Linked DNA regions of Mus musculus. The protein of the gene in region 2 purifies or fractionates together with the protein of the main gene of each other region. This does not show direct contact. Links are inferred from orthologs where the notes say so. Each region holds a gene or a part of one and is shown on either strand. Other genes may lie near its edges.

What was found. Proteins that work in one complex are often made in the same cells at the same time.
Region 1: the proteins of Ehmt2 (region 2) and Zfp644 purify together in Homo sapiens (affinity purification with mass spectrometry; 3 studies listed by BioGRID and IntAct, with this or other methods). This does not show direct contact. The link is inferred for Mus musculus from reciprocal best matches to the Homo sapiens genes EHMT2 and ZNF644.
Region 3: the proteins of Ehmt2 (region 2) and Mier1 purify together in Homo sapiens (co-immunoprecipitation; 3 studies listed by BioGRID and IntAct, with this or other methods). This does not show direct contact. The link is inferred for Mus musculus from reciprocal best matches to the Homo sapiens genes EHMT2 and MIER1.

The regions. Positions count from the first base shown.
Region 1 is NC_000071.6:106,614,637-106,622,204, reverse strand, and holds the end of Zfp644 (zinc finger protein 644), read left to right. Parts: intron 1-2,562; coding exon 2,563-2,665; intron 2,666-3,776; coding exon 3,777-3,969; 3' UTR 3,970-5,464; downstream 5,465-7,568.
Region 2 is NC_000083.6:34,907,037-34,913,906, reverse strand, and holds part of Ehmt2 (histone-lysine N-methyltransferase EHMT2), read right to left. Parts: coding exon 6,842-6,870; intron 6,577-6,841; coding exon 6,470-6,576; intron 6,386-6,469; coding exon 6,263-6,385; intron 6,165-6,262; coding exon 6,063-6,164; intron 5,734-6,062; coding exon 5,629-5,733; intron 5,504-5,628; coding exon 5,349-5,503; intron 5,270-5,348; coding exon 5,102-5,269; intron 3,217-5,101; coding exon 3,072-3,216; intron 2,930-3,071; coding exon 2,852-2,929; intron 2,545-2,851; coding exon 2,429-2,544; intron 2,329-2,428; coding exon 2,242-2,328; intron 1,519-2,241; coding exon 1,440-1,518; intron 1,274-1,439; coding exon 1,098-1,273; intron 268-1,097; coding exon 87-267; 3' UTR 1-86. UniProt on the Homo sapiens protein: Histone methyltransferase that specifically mono- and dimethylates 'Lys-9' of histone H3 (H3K9me1 and H3K9me2, respectively) in euchromatin.
Region 3 is NC_000070.6:103,159,016-103,166,583, reverse strand, and holds the end of Mier1 (mesoderm induction early response protein 1), read right to left. Parts: intron 6,903-7,568; coding exon 6,763-6,902; intron 4,162-6,762; coding exon 3,833-4,161; 3' UTR 830-3,832; downstream 1-829. UniProt on the Homo sapiens protein: Transcriptional repressor regulating the expression of a number of genes including SP1 target genes. Probably functions through recruitment of HDAC1 a histone deacetylase involved in chromatin silencing.

The DNA of each region.
Region 1 (7,568 bases), on a different chromosome or scaffold from region 2:
CATATGAATGTCTTCCTTGCATGCCATGTGTGTTACTCAGGTTTTTTACCTGTTTTTTCTAAATGTAGGGACAGCATTGCAGAGGTGGGCTGGATGCTAGTAATTAACCTTCTTGTTCAACGTACTCATTTCACCTACAAAACAATGTTTCCGGAACCAAGGGATTTTAAAATAATGAAGACGTAGACACTTAGACATTCAAGTTTTATTCCCAGGAGTCTGAGATTTGAAATATTTTAATCTTAGGAAAGGGGTGAATTTCTAAGAACTTGTGCAACATGACTTGGAAACCTAGTTAGCAGAGTTTATCAGCTACATTATAACAGTTGCCCTATTTTCTGGTGTCATGACACCTTCAAATGCTAACACTGGAATTTTGATGGCTTTATTTATAGTTTTAGATGTGATCATTCATAAACAGCTTGTAGAGTCGTACAGCATCAAAATTCAGAAAATACTGTTCTTGCTCATTCATGTAAATACTCTTTATAAGTGCAGGCTGTCCAGGTGCATGTTTCAGACATCACAGCATGTCTCTTCAACTGAGTTTGGTAGCATAAGACACATCATTGACCTCTTCTTACTATTCCTCTCCCCATTTGCTGACAGTGGCATTATGTGAAGCTCGTTTGTAAGGTTGCCAGTGCATTCTGTTTGTATCCACAGTAATTTACTTACATTCTGCAAGGATTTTTTTTTTGTAATGTGGCAAGTTTAACAACCCATAAGCTCTCCAGCTCTCCAAAGAAAGATTGTATCTGTGATCTAACACCTACCCTTGCTGTGTCCTACATCATAGAGGCAGACATTCTGTGGATTTACCTCAGAGGTGGAGGGAGTAACTGATCTCTAGTATTTCTCTGAACTCTTTCCAGAGTATGAATCACTTAAAAGTCATTCCAATTCTAAATTGCCCACTGCAGCCACTGTGGAAAAGAAGTGTATGGTGTTTGGTCGTCCATATTAGGTGTGATGAGGAACCTGGTTGCTGTAAGTTAGACTGTTCTGTGATACATAGCCAAGATAACGCAGAACTTGTGGTTCCAACAGTGCATTTACGCACATGATGGCCATGGTAGGAAGGGGTGTTGCCCATATTGCATTTTGGTAGCAGAGAGTTCCAGTTGCACTCCATCAAAATGCTAATGGATAAATTATTAGGTTTTACTTGATTTGTCTATTTATTTATTTTTTTATTTTTGCTCCAGAAGCATTTGTTGAGTCTCTGCTATGTACCAGGCTCTTGACTGACATAACTAATGACAACATTAGAATTTTCCAGAGCTGGGTTATTTATCTTTGAATTAGTTATTCTTCAATACCTTACTGTTAGTCTCTTGTTTTAATGATTAATAGGAAAAAAGCAAAACCCAGTGAGTCTTAGTTTTTACTTTGAAATAAACAGGTGACAAGAAGCTGGCCGTCGGGACTGTGCTCTTCCATTCACTACAGTTTGTAGTTTGCTGCGTGCATTTCTGTTACCTTCCCACTTGTCTGCTGTGAGGAACTGTGGTCTCTGGTTCTGTAATGGCAGCACCTGTTCTTTTGGAATCTGGACTTGGAACAGCCCACATGGCAGGTCCATTGAGCGGCCCATCCCTCTTCTCTTACTTGGAATTGTTTCAGGGGATTCCATGGATGAGAGAAGCCATTTGAAGGATTCTGGTGTTACATTTGGATCCTTCACTCGCAGCCCTAGGGATGCGCTCTTTCTTCTCCCTGCTCCTTGACAAGCAGCATCTGCAGTCACTGCCATCCCTTTGTCCAGAGGATCCAAGGACTGCAGAGCAGTGTCCTACCCACTAGTTCAACGATAAAGTGTTTTCTTTCAGTGACTCACAGACTGGAATAAATAATTAAGGGAAAAGTAATGGGAAAAATGTCAAAACCAACACTAAAATATTTGGTCTACCCTTAAAAAAAGCTTTTTGTTTAAATCACATTTTAAAAGCAAACCACTGGAGAAAATATAGTGTGAAAAAATGAAAAGAATAGTTGGCATCAAACACTGGATCCAGCTGTGAACTCAGATAATACAAATTTATAGTTACTTATACAGCTCACACGTTTGCATGATTGTACATGTAACAGGTTGTTTACAAAGGAAAACTGAGCTATGTTGGTCTTGAATTTCAGTGGAAATTGTTTCTTCGTTGAGCTTTGTATTATTACATTGTTGATATTCCATTGCCCAGTTTGCTAGGGTTACTTAATAGAATAATAATCAAGTGCATATTTAATTAAGTAACATTAAAAGTTGTGATTTTCCTAGAAATAAGACGTTTAGAATTATGTATGCTCAGAAGTTAAAGATTCTCTGTATTGTAATTATTGACTGAGCTCCCAGTTCTTTAGTCATATTTTCTCAGTTGTACCTGAGTGTTGTATTTGGAGAAAGCGACTCCAGGAGAATCTGCTCTAGAAGCCACTAAGAGTTAGTGCATACCCTGAAAACAGAGCTGAACAGAGACTTTCCTGGTGTAGTTGAGCTGTTGTGACCTCTCTGTTATGTAGGTGTGTTTTAAATATATGAGAAATTAAGTTTTTCTCTTCCCTTTTTAGCCATAGATTGTAAGCAGAAGAAATCAAGGTCAAGATCTGGAAGCAAGAAGAAAATGCTAACGTTGCCTCATGGTGCTGACGAGGTTTACATTCTCCGATGCAGGTATATGCCTCGGTTGCTTTGTGTGCTACGGTCCCTTTTCCAGGTGTCCTTTGAGACACAGTAGTTGGCATTTTTATTTTGTGGCTTGCTCAACAATAAAGTGATAAATGATTTTTTTCAGCTTAGAATCATAACTTATACTCATATGTTTGCTTCAACAACTGATAAAATTATGTCTGTACATTAGCCAACTGCTGTATTATACTGCAGTTGGTAGAAGTGGTGTATTGGTTGTTGTGCTTTATATACGTGGTTAATTTGGTTTGGTTTATTTCTACTGTTCCTGCTTACTGAGAACATATTTACACGTTTTCTTTTCCTTCATGCACTTTACAGATAGAAACACAGACATCATGTACTTCTGAATTAGAAAAGGGTCTTTCAAGAGATACACTTTGGAATAACTCTTGTGAATGAATTTAGATGGTCTAAAAGTATTGACTGGGGCAGGAAAGGTGGCTCAGTAGCTGAGAGCCCTGGCTGCTCTTTGAGAGAACCCATGCTTGACCTCCATCACCCACATAATGCCTCGCAGTATCTGTAACTCCAGTCTTGGGATCCTACATCCTTTTCTGGCCTATAAGGACACAGGCATGCACATTTGGTGCACAGACAATACAGGCAGGCAAAATACCCATTATACACGTACATTTTTTAGAAGCTTATTAATCTTAAATAATTTCCAGTCTATTAAAAATATTGACATTTCCTAAGTCTATTAATAAGGGTGTAAATTGATTGGTTTAAGTTAATTTAAACCAGTAGTTCTCACCCTTCCTTATGCTGAGACCCTTTAATAGAGTCCCCTTTGTTGTAGTGACCCCAGCTTATAAACTATTGTTGCTACTTCATAACTGTAATTTTGCCACTGTTATGAATTGTGACGTAAATATCTGATATGAAGGATGGTCTTTGGTGACTCATGTGAAAGGGTCATTTGAACTACAAGGGGGTTGCGACCCACAGGTTGAGAACCATTGATTTAAATTTAGGTGTGTTCCATGTGGTATATGGTGAGATTTATTTCTTACATTGTGGGCTTTATATATAAGTTAGTTTTAAATAGAGTTCGTTTAGTTAAGAAAACTATTATTATCTACTTCCCTCATAGGTTTTGTGGCCTAGTCTTTCGGGGACCATTGTCTGTTCAGGAAGACTGGATTAAGCACTTACAGCGTCACATTGTAAACGCTAATCTTCCACGGACTGGAGCTGGCATGGTGGAAGTCACATCACTACTTAAAAAGCCTGCCTCTATCACAGAAACGTCGTTTTCTTTACTAATGGCAGAAGCAGCATCATAGAACCAGGAATCCTTTTCAATAGCAAATTTAATTGGATGTAAATTTAAAATTTGTGTCTTTTTTTTGTAAGCCACATGAAAGTATCCATTATAAATACTAAAGTAGGAAGAATGAGGGACCGTAAATTAGAGTGGCATCGGAGCAAACAATACTTCAGACAAGACAGTAAGTAGTCATATATTTTATATAGGGTGGAGATGTGTTCTTAAGGTTTACTAAGTTTTGTTGGCTGAGTTTACTCAACTAAAGGTCCTACATCTGAGAGCCATTTGTAAAGTGTTGCACATGAATCCTTACAGACAGACTTACTGAAAGATTATGTTCTCTACAGTGTTACCAGAATCAAGGCTCTGGTTTTTCCCCACACATAGAAAAATAAGAAATTATATTTTGTTGGTATGTATTTAGTGTTTTGTATAATACCAGGAACTGCTAACTAAATTTACTCAACTTAGGGCATTAAATATCATGTACTTCATAGTTTGAGACTGTTCCCTCAAATAGGGCAGAGTACTATTCTATCTAGATGTGTTAAGTGTTTTTTTAAAATCATAATGGAACGGTTTTTTTTTATATATATATACATATATATATATATATACTAAAAAGTTGGAGCGAGATTTGTTTAAACAAGTATTTCTAAAAGAAATATTGTACATAGTCCTGGAAATTATTTGTGGTAAGGAAATATTCTTTAATCCAGTTGCATTTCTCAGACAATGAAGTGGTGCGTCCATGCTACCTCCTGCTTTGTCAACAAAGATGCTATTTACCCTTTCCATTTGTATCATAATAGATTTTAAAAATCTAATGTTCTTTATTGCAAGACATACTTTTGTTAACAGATTTGTTTCTTTGTAACGTTTTCCATACGTTTGACATGCTTACAGGACAGGGTTGTCTTTATTTAACATTGTAGAAATGTAATTAATAAACAAGGCTCACTACACAATTTAGAATAGGCTTTCTCATTTATATTCCAAATTTGATCATTTAGCAAAACTATTGATACACAAAATATTTCTACATATGAGAATGTTTACAATTTGAATTTTAGAAGTTGTTTTTGGATGTGATTCTATGTATGAAAATTGTGTAACACTATGCTCATGCTAAGAACCGACTTAACAGAATTACTGAAATAAATGTGCTGTGAGGAATGGACAGTACGGTGCAGGTGTCTTGGTCATGATAAACTGTGATGATTCTTTTAAACACTTTCCAAAAACAACTTAGTTCCTTTCATCCTGAATGAGCGTCGTTTACAAACAGCAGTTTGTATGCAAGCACCATTCCGCTTCATTTCATGGTGTTGCTAATATAGTTGAACCAAGGATATGCATTGATACTTTTCATAATTTGTAAATAAAGTTAAAAACAGTTAAAGGAGTGTTTGGTAGAGGTATATGTATATATACCTCACTGCCAGTGAAATTACTTTCCTATGGTATATCTCCTTGCCAGAAATCACTAAATAAAAAGACTTCAAGAATTACAGTGCCTCTAATGTGAAACATTTGTTATTTTTTTTATTTCATGGGAAATAGTCCATAAGGTTGTTTTATTTAGTTAGGTTGTTTATATTTACCAAGTTACTTTTGTTCTCTAAAAACACTACATTGATCAATATATTTCATGTGAAGAAATATTTTCCCATTATGGTTAATAAACATCTTAATTAGGTGCTAGTTAGTGTGTAAAATCAGGAGGTTGTGTTTTATTTTATCTGAGCCAAGGGTCCTGCGACCCCTAAGGAATAAGATAATGGAAGGACTTTTGAACTCCTGAAAGGCCAGGAGGAAACTTTGCTTTTGTCTGAAACTATGAGGTGTAACTAAAACATCACGTTTTGTTACTCTCAACTGAGAATATGCCACGTCCTTGTTGATATTGATCACCTCTTACTGAGGATGTCCCATTGGATTTCCATATGTGTATTTCCATATGTGTATTTCCATATGTGTATGCGCTCTGTTTGTTTGGGGAGGGTCTCACTGATTTCCCTGGGCTGGCTTTGAACTCAGAATCCTCCATTTCAAGCCCTTCTGAGACTGACTACACCAGTGTGCACTATCCCTGGCTCAATATAGTTTTTGAAACTGAACCATATGCAAACAAAGCAAGTAGAATTCAGAAGTTTAGAAAAAAAATTGACAGGATTCCTAGTTGGAAGACTTGGAATTTTTAGAGCCTCTTAGATTTAATTATGACTTTTTTTTTTTTTCCTAATCATGACAGCTATCAATGTATAGGAATGCAGGAAGAATTAGTATAGCCACATAGTTCAGAATTAAACCCAAGATCTTCCCACATAGTGTAGAGTCGTGTCCTTTGCAAATCAGGATGCTTGGACTTCGTCTCCCCACCCCACCCCCACCTCTCCTCCCCTCTTTTCCTCCGTATCTCCTTTCCTTCCATTATTTACTTTTTAGGAACCATCTCTTCACTTATTTTTGTCAGGAGGGCACAGCACATGTGTGCAGTCAGAAGACGCTTGCTGTAGTTACTCCTTGCACCACACAGGTTCAGTGGTCAGATGTGGGTTGTGTGCCTTGTACAAGCAGTCTCTGCTGAGCCACCACACACTCCTCCATGTCTTGATCTTGTTCTGTTGCTCTAGCCAAGTTTTGAACATTGTATTGGGTGAGAGAGACTAGAATGGGTACATTTGCCTCGCTCCTGGTTCAAAAAGGAAACACTCTGAGTTTTCAGTATTTATAATGTTGGGTATAGGCTTGTGTTGACATCCATTGTTACATTCCTCTCCGCCTGGCTTATTTTTCAGGAAAGGCCATTTCTCCAGTTGTATGCTGTCTGCCTTTAAGTCTGTACATTGCATTTAACATTTATTGACTTTCCTGTGTTGCACCAATCTCAGTGTAAACCTGTGGTGGAATCAAATCGGTCAGGGCATGTGTTTGTTCTTACTGCTATGTTCTTGAATACCAAATGGTTTGTGTGGATTTTATTGAATTTTTGTGCTGTGTTGCCTCTCTTGATTGCCAGCTTGACACATTGTAAAAAGGGAACTTGGGTTGCTTCCATCAGATTGGTCTGGGGGCGTCTTATTGATTAATATTAGAGGGCCCAGCCCACTCTGGGTAGTACTATGTCTAAACAGATGAACCTATGCTGTACAAGAAAGCCAGGGGAAGCAAGCCAGGAAGCCCAATGTCCCTCTGTGGTCTGTGTTTCAGTTGCCTCCTGGTTGAATTCCTGCCATGGTTTCCCTCAGTGAAAAAGGGTTTGACCTGAGAGTAAGAAGATGAAATAATTCACTTTTTCTTCTCCATGTTGCTTTTGGCCATGGCCTTCATCATATTACAGCACAGAAAGGAAACTGACATGGTCACGACTTACTTAGTCAGGGAAACTGATGTCATTTTCTCTTTTTGTTGTGTCCTTATCTGGCCTTAGTCTCATAAAATAAGTTTAGGCGTGGTTCCCTTTCCGTTTTGTAGGTTAGACAGAGAGTGCAGCAGCAGCAGCTTTTCCTTAGGAGTTGTGTAGATCCCAGCAGCAAGTCATTGGGTTCTGGGCGGCCCTTTATGGACAGGCGAGAGACGGCAGCTTCAGGCTTGTTCTTCTGAGTTATTGTT
Region 2 (6,870 bases):
AGGGGCCATCGACCTTCCAGGCCTTACTGGGGTCTCTGATGGAGAAATGTCTGAAGGGCAGTGCCCGGCCTGGATTTTAAGAGTCCTCAGGTGTTGATGGGGGGCAGGGAGCTGAGGTCAGGGAGCAGCTCCGGGTGGGGGTCCAGCCGGGCCAGGCGGCTCTGCTCCAGGGCGATGGCCTCCGCTGAATGCTTGCACTTCTCAGAGCCACACTGGCAGGTGAAATACTTGCTCTTGATGTCCCAGAATCGGTCACCGTAGTCAAAGCTGGCAGAGGAAACACAGGAGCTCTTGGCCCTTGGATCTAGACACTTCAAACCCATCTCATAGAGCCCAGGAGCCCTCTTGAGGGATCCACCTTCTTCCACCCAACCACTCCTGCAGATGGACTCCAGGTCCTTGTTGGCTCTGTTGACTCACACTCCCAGAGAACTGTCATAAATGCAGGCTTCTAGCCTTCCTGCCTTGTGACCAGACTCTCCCGAGGCTCTGCGGGAAGTGGGATGCAGCCTGCCCAGGGCCTAGTATACTCAACCATCCAGCCAACCCACACTAGCCCCCATCCCCCTTCTTGTTTTTTGCTTAAGATAGGGTCTCTCTACATAGGCCTGGCTGTCCTGAACTCTGTAGTTAGCCCAGGCTGGCCTTGAATTTGTAGGTACTTCTGCTTCAAGCTCTTTCAAACACTAGCATGACAGGCATGTGATACCAGGGCAACCTGGACTTCTCTTGTTTTGTTTTGACACAGGGTCTCACTCTGTAGCCCAGACTCTTTGTGATCCTCCTGCCTCAGCCTCCTGAGTGCTGTGATCATGAATGTATGTTCCTACTCCTGCCTTACACAGTTTTAACAAGCCTTCCAAGGGACACCTAAGAACACCAAAGGAAGCCGGGTATGGTAGCACACACCTTTAATCCCAGCACTTGGGAGGCAGAGGCAGGCAGATTTCTGAGTTCGAGGCCAGCCTGGTCTACAGAGTGAGTTCCAGGACAGCCAGGACTACACAGAGAAACCCTGTCCCGAAAAACCGGGAAAAAAAAAAAAAAAAAAAAAAGAACACCAAAGGCTGGTCAGTGCCCTCAGGCTGGCTCCTCACCCCAGCTCCTCCCCAGTCCGGATGTCCCTGGAGCTGAAGAAGGCAATGCGTGGGAACCGTAGATCTTGGTGCAGCATGAAAACCCGGACAGGGATGATGTTGGGGTCACACAGGTGGTTAATGAATCGGCTGATGTTGCCATAGTAACGGGCATCAATGCAGTAAACCTCGCCATCCTGGGGGTGGAGACACAGTGTTCTTAATATCCACTTCTATCCACTTGCCTGGCTAGTGTTCCTGCAGTGACACCCAGTCCCTCCACCCAGGCTTCCAGTCCCAGATGTTACAGGTGGCTGCACAAAGCAGCCTTTGGTAGTTGAGGGCAGAGGTGCTGCATCCCACCTTGTTATCTAAATCGAAGAGGTAAGAATCATCCTCTCTCACATCAGCCTCGGCATCAGAGATCAGCTCTCCTACATACCTGTTGGACGGAAACTTCAGTTCTGCATGAACAGTGAGCAGGGCTCCCGGCCCCACCTTCCCACTCAGTTCTCAGAGCCCAGGGGAGAGATGCAGGACATGGTCCAGCCACTAGGGGTCGCTGTGCAGCTGTAGACAGGCAGGTGGGAGGCTCTGTACAGGTGGAGCCTGCAAGACCTGAGCAGGCATGGTGGGAGATGACGTGTGTGTGTGTGTGTGTGTGTGTGTGTGTGTGTGTGAGCCTGTGTTCTGGGGATTAGCATCCCTGGTGGCTGGCTGGGTGGAAAGTTGCCAGGCTTAGACATTAGGAGGTGTGTGCACCAGGAACTATCAAACAGGTGGTAGGCTCTGCGCAGCTACATCAGTCATGAGGTCGCCCCATGTGGCTGGAAGAGGAATTGCCCAAGAGAAGTGGGTGTCTGAGAAGTTGAGGGAACAGAGAAACTGGGAGGTCCTCGGAGCAGGTGAAGGGGCTTCTCTGCTCTAAAGGCCACAGAGAACCTAGGTGAGTCTGACGGCAGAGGGGAGGAAGTGCACAGGAAAAAGCTATTCTCCACTTTACAGATCTGTCTGCCACAGGCATGCTCCATCTAGGCAGCGTGCAGGTAAAGGGGGGACATGATGTTTGGAAATACACTCGGTGGGCGAGCAGAGACATGTATCCTGACATGGAGCTCTAGGGTCAGCAGAGCCCTCATGCACCACGGCCTCACAGTGAACTTACTCGCAGATGAACGTGCCCTGGGGGATGGTCTGCAAGGCTCGGACCCCCCAGCCCATCTTGGCAGTCCGGTAGAGCTGCAGCCGTACCCTAGAGGTGGAGAGGGAGTCACACTGAGTGTGGGACACCTGGGAGGGCCCCAGGGGAGGGGAGGCGGAGGCGAGGCAGGGTGCCGGGGCGCGCGCCTCACTTGATGCCGCTCTGCACCACGCGGTTCTTGCAGCTTCTCCAGCAGGAGCATGCCTGGTTACACTCAAAGATCAGGGGGGGCTCGATCTTGTTAAACTCCTGGAGCAGCCGCCCGTCCTGGGGTGCGGAGGGAGGGGATAGTGGTTTCTCTGTGGGGCCCATTTCAGCTGCCCTGGACCCAGAGGACTCCACAGGAAACTCCACTCTGACCCCAGCCAAGAGCAGAAGAGCAAGGTGCAGAGTCTGCAGGCTGAGGTCAGAGACCAGGAAGTGTGCGCGCAGGCACTAGAGCGCGCATTTGCATATACTCCAGCAGAGAGGCCCATTGCATTCCTGGCAGGGCTTCCTGCCACACCCTGTGTCTCTTCCCCAACACAGCAGGGTCCTGGCTCCTTGGCAGACCTGCCAGGTGAGGGTCACGTACCTTGTCATACCAGCATCGGATACTGAGCTGACCACATAGGCAATTGGAGCTGGAGCAGTCATCCACACACGTGCAGTGCTGTGGGAGAAAAGTAGGAGTGAGTGGGGTTCATGTTCCAGGACAGTGAGTGGTGGTGGTCCCAGTGTGAGGGGGAGTCTTCATGCCCCCCATCCTGGTGTGGAGGTGCTCCCACAGCATGGTGAGCGGGGCTGTGCCTTACCTGCAGATGGGTGATGTTGCGGTCGATGTTCATGGTCGATGTCTCGCAGTTCTCAGAGATGTACTTGTAGTCCTCCGGGCACGGCTCCCCATCCACACCATTGACACAGGGGATGGGTACATTCTCATAGCCTCGGGCTACGTCCCTACAGAAGGGGCAGATAAGGTCAAAGTGGGGCAGAGTAGTTCTGAGGGGAGGATTCCTTGATCTAAGGGTGCTGGCACTTTTATCTCAGCACATGCAGGGAGACGTTCTTGAAAACAAACAAAGACACCACGGAGAACAATCTCGGCTAAGAAATAGTTATGTCCCAAGTAGTGACTGGGTTATTTCTGTTTCTTGGTGAGAATGCAGACTGAGCCCAACAGCACGGTGCATACTAGGCCAATAAATGCTCGCCCACTGACCGATGTTCCCAGCCCCGACCTTTTCTCATTCCTTGGTGAGATACAGCATCCTATAGCCCCGGCTGGCCCCAGACTGAAAGATAGCAGAGAATGACTTCGACAGTCTATTCTCCTGCCCTGGCTCCCGAGTGCTAGGGTCAGAGGCATATGTCACCACCCCAATGGACTCTGGACTTTTAAATTTTAGCTGGAGACTGAGTCTTGCTACAATGCCCCAGCTGGCCTTAAACGTGAAGTTATGATTTTCCCGCCTCTGCCTCCTCAGATGCTATAAGGACAGACAAACACCAAAGTACTCAGCTTGCACAGAACACATCTGGATTACAAACTTACATATCTTTTTGTTTTGTTGGTTTTTGTGGTTGGTTTTTTTGAGACAGGGTTTCTCTGTATAGCCCTGGCTGTCCTGGAACTCACTTTGTAGACCAGGCTGGCCTCAAACTCAGAAATCCCCCTGCATCTGCCTCCTGAGTGCTGGGATTAAAGGAGTGCACCACCACGCCCGGCAACCCACCTCCTTCTTTGAGACAGCATCTCACTGTACAGCCCTGGAACCCAGAAATCAGCCTGCCTCTGCCTCTGCCTCTGCCTCCAGAGCGAGATTAAAGGTCTACACCACTCTCCGCCTGGCCCGAGCAGCCTCATGTCTGAGTGTGGTGTGCACAGGATACAATGAGATGGAAAGCTCAGAGGGCAGTCCTCGGGAGGCAGCTCTCTCCTTCTGGTGGGTTCATGGCTTAAACTCCACACGCACTTTCAGCAGTTGGGCCGCCTCACACTAGCTTTGTGGTTGTTTTTGTTTTGTTTGTTTTTCCTTTTTTAAGTTTTGAGTCTCATTGAGCCTCCAATATGCAGGCTCAAGAGGTAGTCTTCCTCCTTGGCCTTCAGAATAGAAGGGATCACAAGTAACACCTAGCTCCTCTCTGAAATTCTTATCTATCTGGGTGTCTGCCTCAAACTTGAAATCCTCCAGCCTCCACCACCTCGAAGGCTTGGAAAACATGTCCTTTTTGTTCTCTTGTCCTTTTTTGTTTGTTTTCTGAGACAGGGTTTCTCTGTGCAGCCCTGGCTGTCCTGGAACTCACTTTGTAGACCAGGGGTCCTCAAACTCAGAAATCCACCTGCCCCTGCGTCCCAAGTGCTGGGATTAAAGGTGTGCACCACCAATGCCCGTCTCCTCTTTCTTTTGTTTAAAGATTAAGGTCTCATTATGTGGCCCTTGTTGGCCTGGAACTTATTACATAGATACAAAGCAGGCTGGCCTCAAGTTCAAAACAATCAGCTGTCTGCCTCCTTCATGCTGAGATTACAGGTGTGGGTCACCACACCCTGCCCTCAGCTTTTTTCAACTGTGTGTGAGAGTGTCATGAGGTGTGTTTGTAAGCCAGAGGACAATTTGGAGGAGTTGACTTTCTCCATGTGAGTCCAGGGACTGACCTCTGTTAGGCTTGGCCACAGGCTCCCTTGTCCACTGAGGGTCTCACTGGCTGAGTCCCTTATTTCCACCTCCCCTAGTGGCAAGATGATTCTAGCAATTCTCGGGATGTCCTGTGCCTGGGAAGGGGCCTGGGACTGGCCAACGTGGGCCGTGGCAGTGGGCATGGATGTCTGGACTGCACTCACCGGCAGATGATCTTCTCGGTGCGGACAGCCCGGTTCCCTACCCCAAGCCTAAGCTTTCGATTGAGCTGCAGTGCAAACCACACATCAGAGCGCTCTGGGGTCAGATCCCATGCCGTGTCTCCTTCTTTGTTCCGAAGCTCAGGGTTGGCTCCACGAGACAGGAACAACCTGAAGAGGAACATAAGGCCTAGGTCAGAGATTGGACAGTGGGGTGTGGGTGCCAGGGGTTGGGGAAGCTAGGGCTTACAGAACACAGTCATGGTAGCTCTCCCTGGCGGCTATGTGCAGGGGCGTGTCCCCATGGTAGTTGACAGCATGGAGATCACACTGGGCATTCAGAAGGACCTCAGCGATGGCGGCACTACCCGTGAAGGAGGCCCAGTGCAGGCAGATGTTTTCCTCCTGTGGAGGTGAGAGGCAGAGACTTGGTTGCAGGTGACACAATCCTTGAACTGAGCCCCCACTCTGCATAGGGGTCCCGCTGCTACCCACCCCAAGTTCTCTGAGCCCCCTTGAGTGTCCCTCACATTGTCAGTCAGGGTGACATCGGCACCCCGGGTCAGCAGCATACGAATCACATCGATGTGCTTGTGCTCGGCTGCCCAGATGATGGGCGTCCAGCCCCCACTGTCCTGAGGGAAGGAAGGAGGAAGGGAATGAGGGCCCAGACTTGCTGGCCAGAAAATAGGAGCTCAGGGGCACCTCTGGAAACAACCACAGCCAGAGAATGGGTATCCACAGATGCACCCCCGCCCCCCAATGCTCACAGGGAACCTCACTGGACGCACTCAGAGATAAGAGATGGGAGTCGAGTTCCATGAACCAAAAAAATGAGGGAATCAACGTGGGCAGTGGGAGGTAGTGGGGGAGGGTCAGGTCAGCTGAGGAAGAAGCGGGACTGATGCCCAAGGGACAGATAGCCAAAGAATCTGTGTACAGGAGGGGCAGCCAGGTTGCTAACCTGGGCATTGACGTCCACCTGTCCTGTGCTCAGTAGCAGGCTGACCATTTCCAAGTTCCCAATTTTGGCTGCATGATGTAGACAGGTGGAGCCATCCTCTTCCTGAGGGAAACACGAGCCAGTGAACCCTTCAGCTAGCACCCCGTGCCCAGGTATCCCTTCTTCCTCCCACCACCCAGCTCTCCAGCGCCATCCCGCACCTTGCTGTAGACACAGCCACCTAACTGCACCATGTAGCGTGCCACCTCCAGGTGGTTGTTCACCACGGCCTCCATTAGTGGCGTGCGTTGTTGCTTATCTACGGCATTGATGTTGGCTCCTGCCTGTGAGGACAGTGTGAAGGCTGGCACCAGGGAGAGGGGATGCTGGGGAGGGGTTGGACAGTGGGAAGGGTCATGAGGACTGACCTGCAGCAGCACATGACAGATCTCTACCGACCCCTTCTGGGCGGCCGCGTGCAGGGGCGTGCGCTTGCTCTGCTGGTCGCTCTGGAAGTTGGGGTCCAGGTTGTCTACTGCAGGCAGAGATGAGACAAGAGGTAAGAGAGCTGGGGGTGGGACAGCCCTGTACCAAGAGAGACTTCCCAGGATTCCCCACTAGGCAAGCCGTGCCAGCCCCTCAGTACTGCCCCGCACTAGAGGAACACTCAGCCTCCAGGCCGGGAAAGCTTATAAGTTGTGCACTGGATCAGTGCCCATTACCAACAGGTTACCACTGCTGCCGCCACCGAGGGTCCTTCCCTTTCACGCACAGCCCTCGGGGTGGGGTCAGACACTCACACAGCATAAGGATCACCTTCTGCAGCTCC
Region 3 (7,568 bases), on a different chromosome or scaffold from region 2:
TCAGAGTAAAGCCTCTCTGGGGAGATAAGAAAAAAGATATACCCCTTTTCCCAGGTGTGGTGGTGTAGCCTCCCACAAGCCTGAAGCAGGCTGAGCCAGAACTTGACCTTGCTGCCACTAAGGAGATTACCTAGGGTGGAGCCTTCCTCCCCAGATCACTCTATTCTGCCACTGCTGCTGTTCCTCTTCAAGATACTGCTACCTGCTGAGGCCTGGAGCTATTCTGGAGACTACACCCTATCACCTGCAGCTGGTTCCAGGCTCCAAGGATGAATTGGCGGGAATGGACTTTCCCCCTTTTATAAAGGGTGTCTGCCATTAAAAATTTGAACCTTGAGCAGACTAGTTGTCTTGGTTCCATTATTTCTCAACCTGCCCAGGCTCCCTCTTTTCTTCCAGATTCCAAGATGCCTTCCAGCTCGAACCCGGACATGTGAGCCACTGGCCGGCCCCAACATGGTGGTATATACTTTAATTCTATCACTTGAAACAAGCTCAAAGGCAGTTTGGGCTGCATGTCTAGGTGTAACATCCCAGCATTTGGGAGACAGATCTCTTGAGTCTATGTAGTAAGCTCCAGTTCACTCAGAACTACATAAGAGACCAAACCAACAAAACACAAACTCCAACACCTCCCCCCATATTAAAAAAGACAGACAGAAAACAATCCAATGTCAGGTAACTAAAACCAAGACCACAGAAAAACCGTTGATTGCACTGTTCGTGGGCATGGAGGCACAGGGATAGTACAACCTTCACTGTGTGTTCCGAGCAGCACAGAGTTTAAACACTGAAATTAAAACAGTGAAATAACTAGACACCACACAAGTATGTTTACAAAAATATTTTAATGAGCATATCAGAATGGCAGAAGGAAATGGGAGGAAGGACATATTTTACAGTGCAAATTATTATGCAGAAATTTAAAAACATCTAATTTATAATTTTGAATGCCTACTTAAATTACTTCAAATACATTTTAAAGCTCAACAGATCCGCGTTGAGCTGAGTTACAGATTCTGAACCTTACTGAGAATACATCATAAACATTGTGTTTCAAAGGAAAATGACAATGCTAACTACCAACAGAGACATTTCTGTTTGAGGCAGCATCTCAGGTATCTCAGGCTTGCCTCCAACTCACTATGTAGGTGAGGACGGCCTTGAACTTCTGATCCTCCTGCCTCCACCTCCCAAGTGCTTAGGATGACAGGCATGTGCCACCACACCCAGTTTATGTGGTACTGGGCATGGAACCCAGGCTTCATATGCACGTTGGGCAAAACAGTCAAACTACTGAGCTACATCCCTACTCCTGAAGGCTTATTTTCTCATCTCAATTACTTAAGTGCTCAAGAGTTATGAAATATACTAAACCTTTAACAAATTACTCATGATATTGCCAAGTTGTTTAAAAGTGCAATGACTTAAGTTTCAGTGGCTGCAGTTTTGAACAAAGGGTGAAATACCTGTACAAACACAGAACAATGTAGTTTGGAAAAGCTGAGCATCGTGTATTAGAGAAATGTTTCATTATGCATACTTTAAAAAGAAAAGTAAGATATATGAACACATATACACCTGGCACATTTCCCAACATGCCTGAGAAATTCCTTAAAAAGTTCCTGTAACAACAGTTTCAAGAACTCTAGGAACTTGCCCAGCAGTTGTAGCCTTTAAAAGGTGGGCTGACACCTCCAATAGTGTAATGATTAAAAAGCATCACTGTTTTTTAAAAAAACATTCCTAGAGACCATCTGTGACAAAGAGTTAGAATGGTTTGAACTCATTTAATAAAACCTGCTTTAGAGAATAGATTGTTGCTGGGTGTGGTGGGAAACACCTTCAATCTCAGCATTAGAGGGCTGAGGTAGAAGGATTGTTAAGTTCCAGGCCAGCCTGGGCTACACAGTGAGACTCTGTTTTGTTTTTGTTGTTTTTAAAAAAAAAAAAAAAAAACACAGAAAAAAGAGAGATAATAGAAATGGGTGGGGGTGGGCAGGGAAACAGAGGCTATGATCCATCTGCTAAAGCTACTTGACCTACTGCCATTCTGGATAAATTAATGGTTTTCAATAAAACAAACAAACAAACAAAATCCTCTCATGCTTCTTAGCACTTCCATCTGAAACTGACTTACTGGGATATTTCTGCAAAAACAATAAATGCATATTATGTGATGTACTGTCAAAGTGCCTTCCAATACTGGTCGAGGGAAAGGAAGCAGTCTGGACAAATCTAAGAATACTCTGAGGGAGAGGCCTGGGCGATCATTCTCAGTGCGAACCTTTACCCAACCTGCATCAGACAACTGAGCCTGTGAAAGGAGCACAGATCTGCCTTTGAGAGCATTGGCTCTTGAACTGATGGCTGAGATCAAACTGAAAGCAGCATTTGGGGATGTGCCTGTGTGAGAAAACATAGCTAATAATCATTCGCTAAAAAACAGTCTGGAGATAGATTGGTCTATCAGCTGTAAAAAACTACATTTTTTAAGAAGAATTTTGCACTAAAAATAAAATGGCACCCATCCATACAAGGCTAGTGCAGATAACCCTTTTTAAAAATCACACAGAACAATGATTATTTTGTATGTGTTTCATTTTGGAAAAACTATCAAATCTGACAAACTGGATTACAACTGGAAAAATCTGAAAATTCTTAAAACCATTATTTTCTCATAAAAATGAATATTGCTACCTGTCAACAGTTACTCCTTGGATGTGGCAATATTGCAACATCACCTGGTCTTCCCCTTCTGTTGACTTAATGGAAACGATGAGAAATCTTATAGGGCACATGAGAGCAACTGAACAGGATTCTATTCAGCATGATACATCTACGCACTTAAGCTGACGGTAAGTTTTTGTTTTGTTTCAAAATTAATTTATAAAATTATAGCAAATGCAAACAAGCTTGTAATCTGAGTATCATGCTGAAATTTAGACATCCCAAATTATTTGTCAGTAAGTAGAAGTTTGAAAATAACGCATGTTCATAATTCTTTATGAATGCTTTTACCACCTGGATAAGAAACATGACTTGGTTAACTACACACACACTTAAAAAGTCATTAGAAAAATCTTAGCAAAATAAAATGAAAGCTGACAGACTCAGAATATCAGTTCCTCTCATAAAAGTTTACCAACTGTACAAGTTAAGAAAATTATACAAGCTTTTTGTATTAAGAAAAGACAGCTCAGTCAAGACATATGTACTGTAAAAATCTTTCAAAGGCTACAAAGAATCTGGAAAAATACAGAATGTATTTCTTAAGCCCAGATAAGAATATGGAAAGACATCATTGATGTCAACAATTTTACAAATACAAACCTGACTTGGTTTATTTTTAAACTTCTACATATAAAAATCATGCTAGCATAACCTTCAGGATTCATGAGGGTTTCCTTAGTAACGATGTTCAATTTGTATGGAGAGAAAAATGTCTGTTGTAAAGACATTTCCAGATAATAAAAAATTTGATGTTGAGCAGAAACACAAACTCTTTTCTTCCTCATAAAGAATAAGGAAAGATTACCTTTTAATCAAATATATGATTTGGTTTTCAAAGGAGAAGGTGCAGTTAAGTCTTTGGGTCATTCAAATTTACCAATGTTTTTATATCCTTAAAGAGGGCTTCAAAAATTTGAAGTAAAAGAACTTGTAAAAGGTAGAATTATGAATCCCATTTCTTAAAAGTTAGGACTTAATTCAAATTTCAAGAGTTAACCAACTGCTTTAAGGAAATCAGCTTTCTAAAGGTCACCCCCCAACCCTGAAAATTGTAGTCAAACCAGACTTTACTGCAAAGAAAGTGAAACAGGCCTAAGAGTTAGTCATTCGTGTTTTCATGTTCCTCAAACTTCCCATGTGAGACTGCTTCCTGGAAAAACTCAGATGAGCCCGGACTTTCTTTCCCACTGCTGTTTATCCGCCGCCTTTTGGCAGGTCTCTCATTTTTTTCATCAAAATCATTTTCATTTCTTGCAGTCATATGGGCAAGTTTTGGGTCAGTGGTCAGGTTATTTGCTTCATAACCATTAGTGTCCATATCTGTAAGAAGTGGTTTCTTATTTCCACCTGTTGGTCCATTAACATGTAACCCTTCAACTTTTACTTCTTCTTTGTTTAGTATTTCTCCTGGTCCATTAGATGAGACACCTACATTTGGAGAGAGATAAATGAAACTTAATACAAAAAGCTAAACTTGTCAACTCTTCTGAAATATCTGCTACAATACACACTTCCAACAAGGAACAAGGAAAGCACCAATCTGAGTGCACTCACTTGTGGCGTGGCCATGGCTTACCAGCAGACATAGCAAGGTCTCCATCGGCTGCACTGCAGCTTCCTTACACACCAGGAGACCCAAACCAAGTGCATGTTACACAGCTGATGATCAACTAAAACAATGGATTTTACCCTGGCATATATTAAAAGTGTACTAAGAGGCTGGAGCAATGGCTCAGTGGCTAAGAACACTTAACGTTCCTAGAGGAAGACCTGGGTTCAGTTTCGAGAATCCATAGGGAGGTTTACAAGCACCTGTATGTAACTCAAATGGTGGCTCACAACCACCTATAACTCTAATCTCAGGAGATCTAACACCTTCTCCCAGCCTTCTCAGGTCACACAGTGTCTCTCTCCTTCCCCCCCCTCCTCCTTACACACACACATACACACACACACAGCACCCATACACACCATACACACAAGCACTACTATGTAAGAATATACTGACATTGTTCCTACAGGAGGTGGGATCTGAGGCTGAAGCCATTCTGGATCGTATGCATCAAGAACCTTAACCATCTACAATAGGTAAAAAAAGTAAAATTATTCTAATTAAATAAAGTAGCAGAAAGATCATATTAGAGCTGACTACGGCACTAGAGATACTCAAACCATTCATTCATATGAGCACTCTATTTGTATATATGTCTGCATGACAGAAGAGAATGTCAGATCCCATTATTAGGTTGTAAGCTACCATGTGGTTTCTGGGGAATTGAACTGAGGACCTCTGGAAGAGCAACTAGTGCTGTTAATCACTGAGCCATCTCTCCAGCCCAAGATATTTAAATCTAAATTATGTAACAAATATTCAACATAAAGAATAATTCTCAAAGATTATATTTTGGTCAAAGAAAATACTCAATTATTCTCAGCTTAATATGTATCCAACTCTTTTTTTTTTCTTCTGTCTTTTATTTTATTTTATTTTATTTTATTTTGAGACAGGGTTTCTCTGTGTAGCCCTGGCTGTCCTCGAACTCAGAAATCCACCAGCCTCTGCCTCCCAAGTGCTGGGATTAAAGGCGTGCGCCACCACGCCCGGCTGTATCCAACTCTTGAATGCACATAGGAACTATGCATCATGTAACACTAAAGAAATAATTCTGTGCTAGCTAGTCTAAAAAACTACATTAAACTGATTAAGGACAAAGAACTATAATACTATTTTGGTGCATTAACTGAAAAGGAAATAAAGCTAAAAAAATTGAGTATATAAAAAAATTAAGCTAAGAAGTTCTACTCTTTTTTTGAAAAACCTGAAAATTTGGATTATATTTACCTGATCTCTTCTGAGCTAAATAGCATTTTTTCAGTCATTTATGAAAATTATCTTACTCTAACAGTGTTTTCTCTATCAAACAGCTAAAAGAGGAAAGGATTTTCTTGGTGTTAAGATGTTAAAGCAAAAGAACCAAGAATCTGAACTCCCTGAGCATCTACACCAGTTCTGAGTTCCAGCCGCACTGCATCTTACATTGTTATTCACAAAGGCACAGCTGACAGCAGGACAGCAGTCTAACAAGCAGTGTCAGACCTGCATGGCACTGAGACCCACATTCTGTGTGTCCAGCTTGTTCTTTTTCTTGGGAGGGGAATTTTTGGGAGTTTCATGTGTCTGTCAGAGAGATCTGCTGTCTGGTTGGTTGTACAGAGAGAAGTACACAGGAAAGGAGCATGGAGTGCACTATGTAATGAATACGCCACCACAGTGAGTGTGGGGTCAAAGCTTTGCCAGTTTTCGTCCATCTTCTCCATGGCTCTCCCATTTCGGTTCTTAACTCCAGTTTCCTCCTTATGAAGATGCTGCGCAATCAGGCTCGCTATTTTCTGCTCAATAATATTCTTACTTGGGACAGTTAAAGTAGAAATCAAAACAATTCTGAGAACAGCTCTTATAGATGGACCTTCACATACTCTGAAGAACACTGTCTTGGTTTGTGTATGTGTGTGCTGTGTGGTGTGTGGTATGCATATGTGTGTGATGTGAGTGTATGTGTGGTGTGTGACATATGTGCATGTGAGAAAGAGAATAAACGTTTCTGCAGAACACCCATGCCCAGGCTGATAGCTAGCTGCTTTACATCTGTTCACTGTTCAGGTTACGATGCAAAGTCAAACATTCAAAAATTAGTTATTACCTACACTTTGAGTCATTAGATTAAAGTACATGTAACAATTTCTCAAACTAATGGAGAAAGAAACATGTTTCTGATGAAAACAGAGGGCTCAAGCCTAGGCATTATCCCACTCAGCTGGGATCAGAGAAGAGATGCTACTTAACGAGAATTTCCCTGTGTAGCTTGGGTCATACATTTCATTTTGAGATGCCACTAAGAACTCTTTCCAATGACTCCATAGTGTCATGGGATGTGTGTTGTTTCTTATTAGTTAGTTTACAGTGCATTCTTTGAGCCATTCCAAGTGTCCTTTACAGTGTAGAACTGGGTGCATCTCCAAGCGGCTTACCGTTCTGATTCCTACTGCTGACAGCGCCATCTTCTTTCTCGGACTGGCTGTTACTGCTATTTGAGGCAGTGGGAGGGGGGGATGGTGCTCGGCTAGAAGCAGCACTTTCACTTTCATCCAAAAGACGATCCATGTAATCCCTTCAAGTTAAATAATATGACTATTATTCCCTTAAAGACAATGCTGAACATTAAAATTAGTTGAAGTTAAATTTGCACACCCCTGTTCACAAATCCATCCTGACTGCCACTTACATTCAAGTCAATGCCTCACAACTGTACCTGGATGTGAACACTTCCTGTCAACTACACATTTATAGTGCTATGTATGAAGGTTCGAAGCTAACGAAAACATCAAGTCCACAGCAAGTTTCAAGACTTTAAGATGTGCAGAAAACGGCTCAAAATGGTGGGACTGAAGCTGGAGTGTGTATAAGTACAGAGGTAAGGATGAGGGCACTGGGAGTACAAAGTGATTTCTGAACAGAAGTAGACTGGGTTTTCAGATCCCCAGTGCAACTGGGCCCAACCCAGAGGAGCCATCCCTGCCTAGCCACTACACAGATCAGCGTGATCTCACTGCGATGGGCCCAGTCCTGGGCTGATTTATAACTTTTATTACAATCACATTAGTTGAGGATCATACTATGCTGGGGTGAAAAAATCCTGTCTGAAGGTAGTGATTTTTAAAAAATAAAATGCAGATAAACCCATGTTTCCTATCTACACACAAGGTTATTGTACTGAACATGAAAGTGGCAGACTATGGCTTGTGGGCTGGCTGCCACTTCTGTACAGTCCAACTGA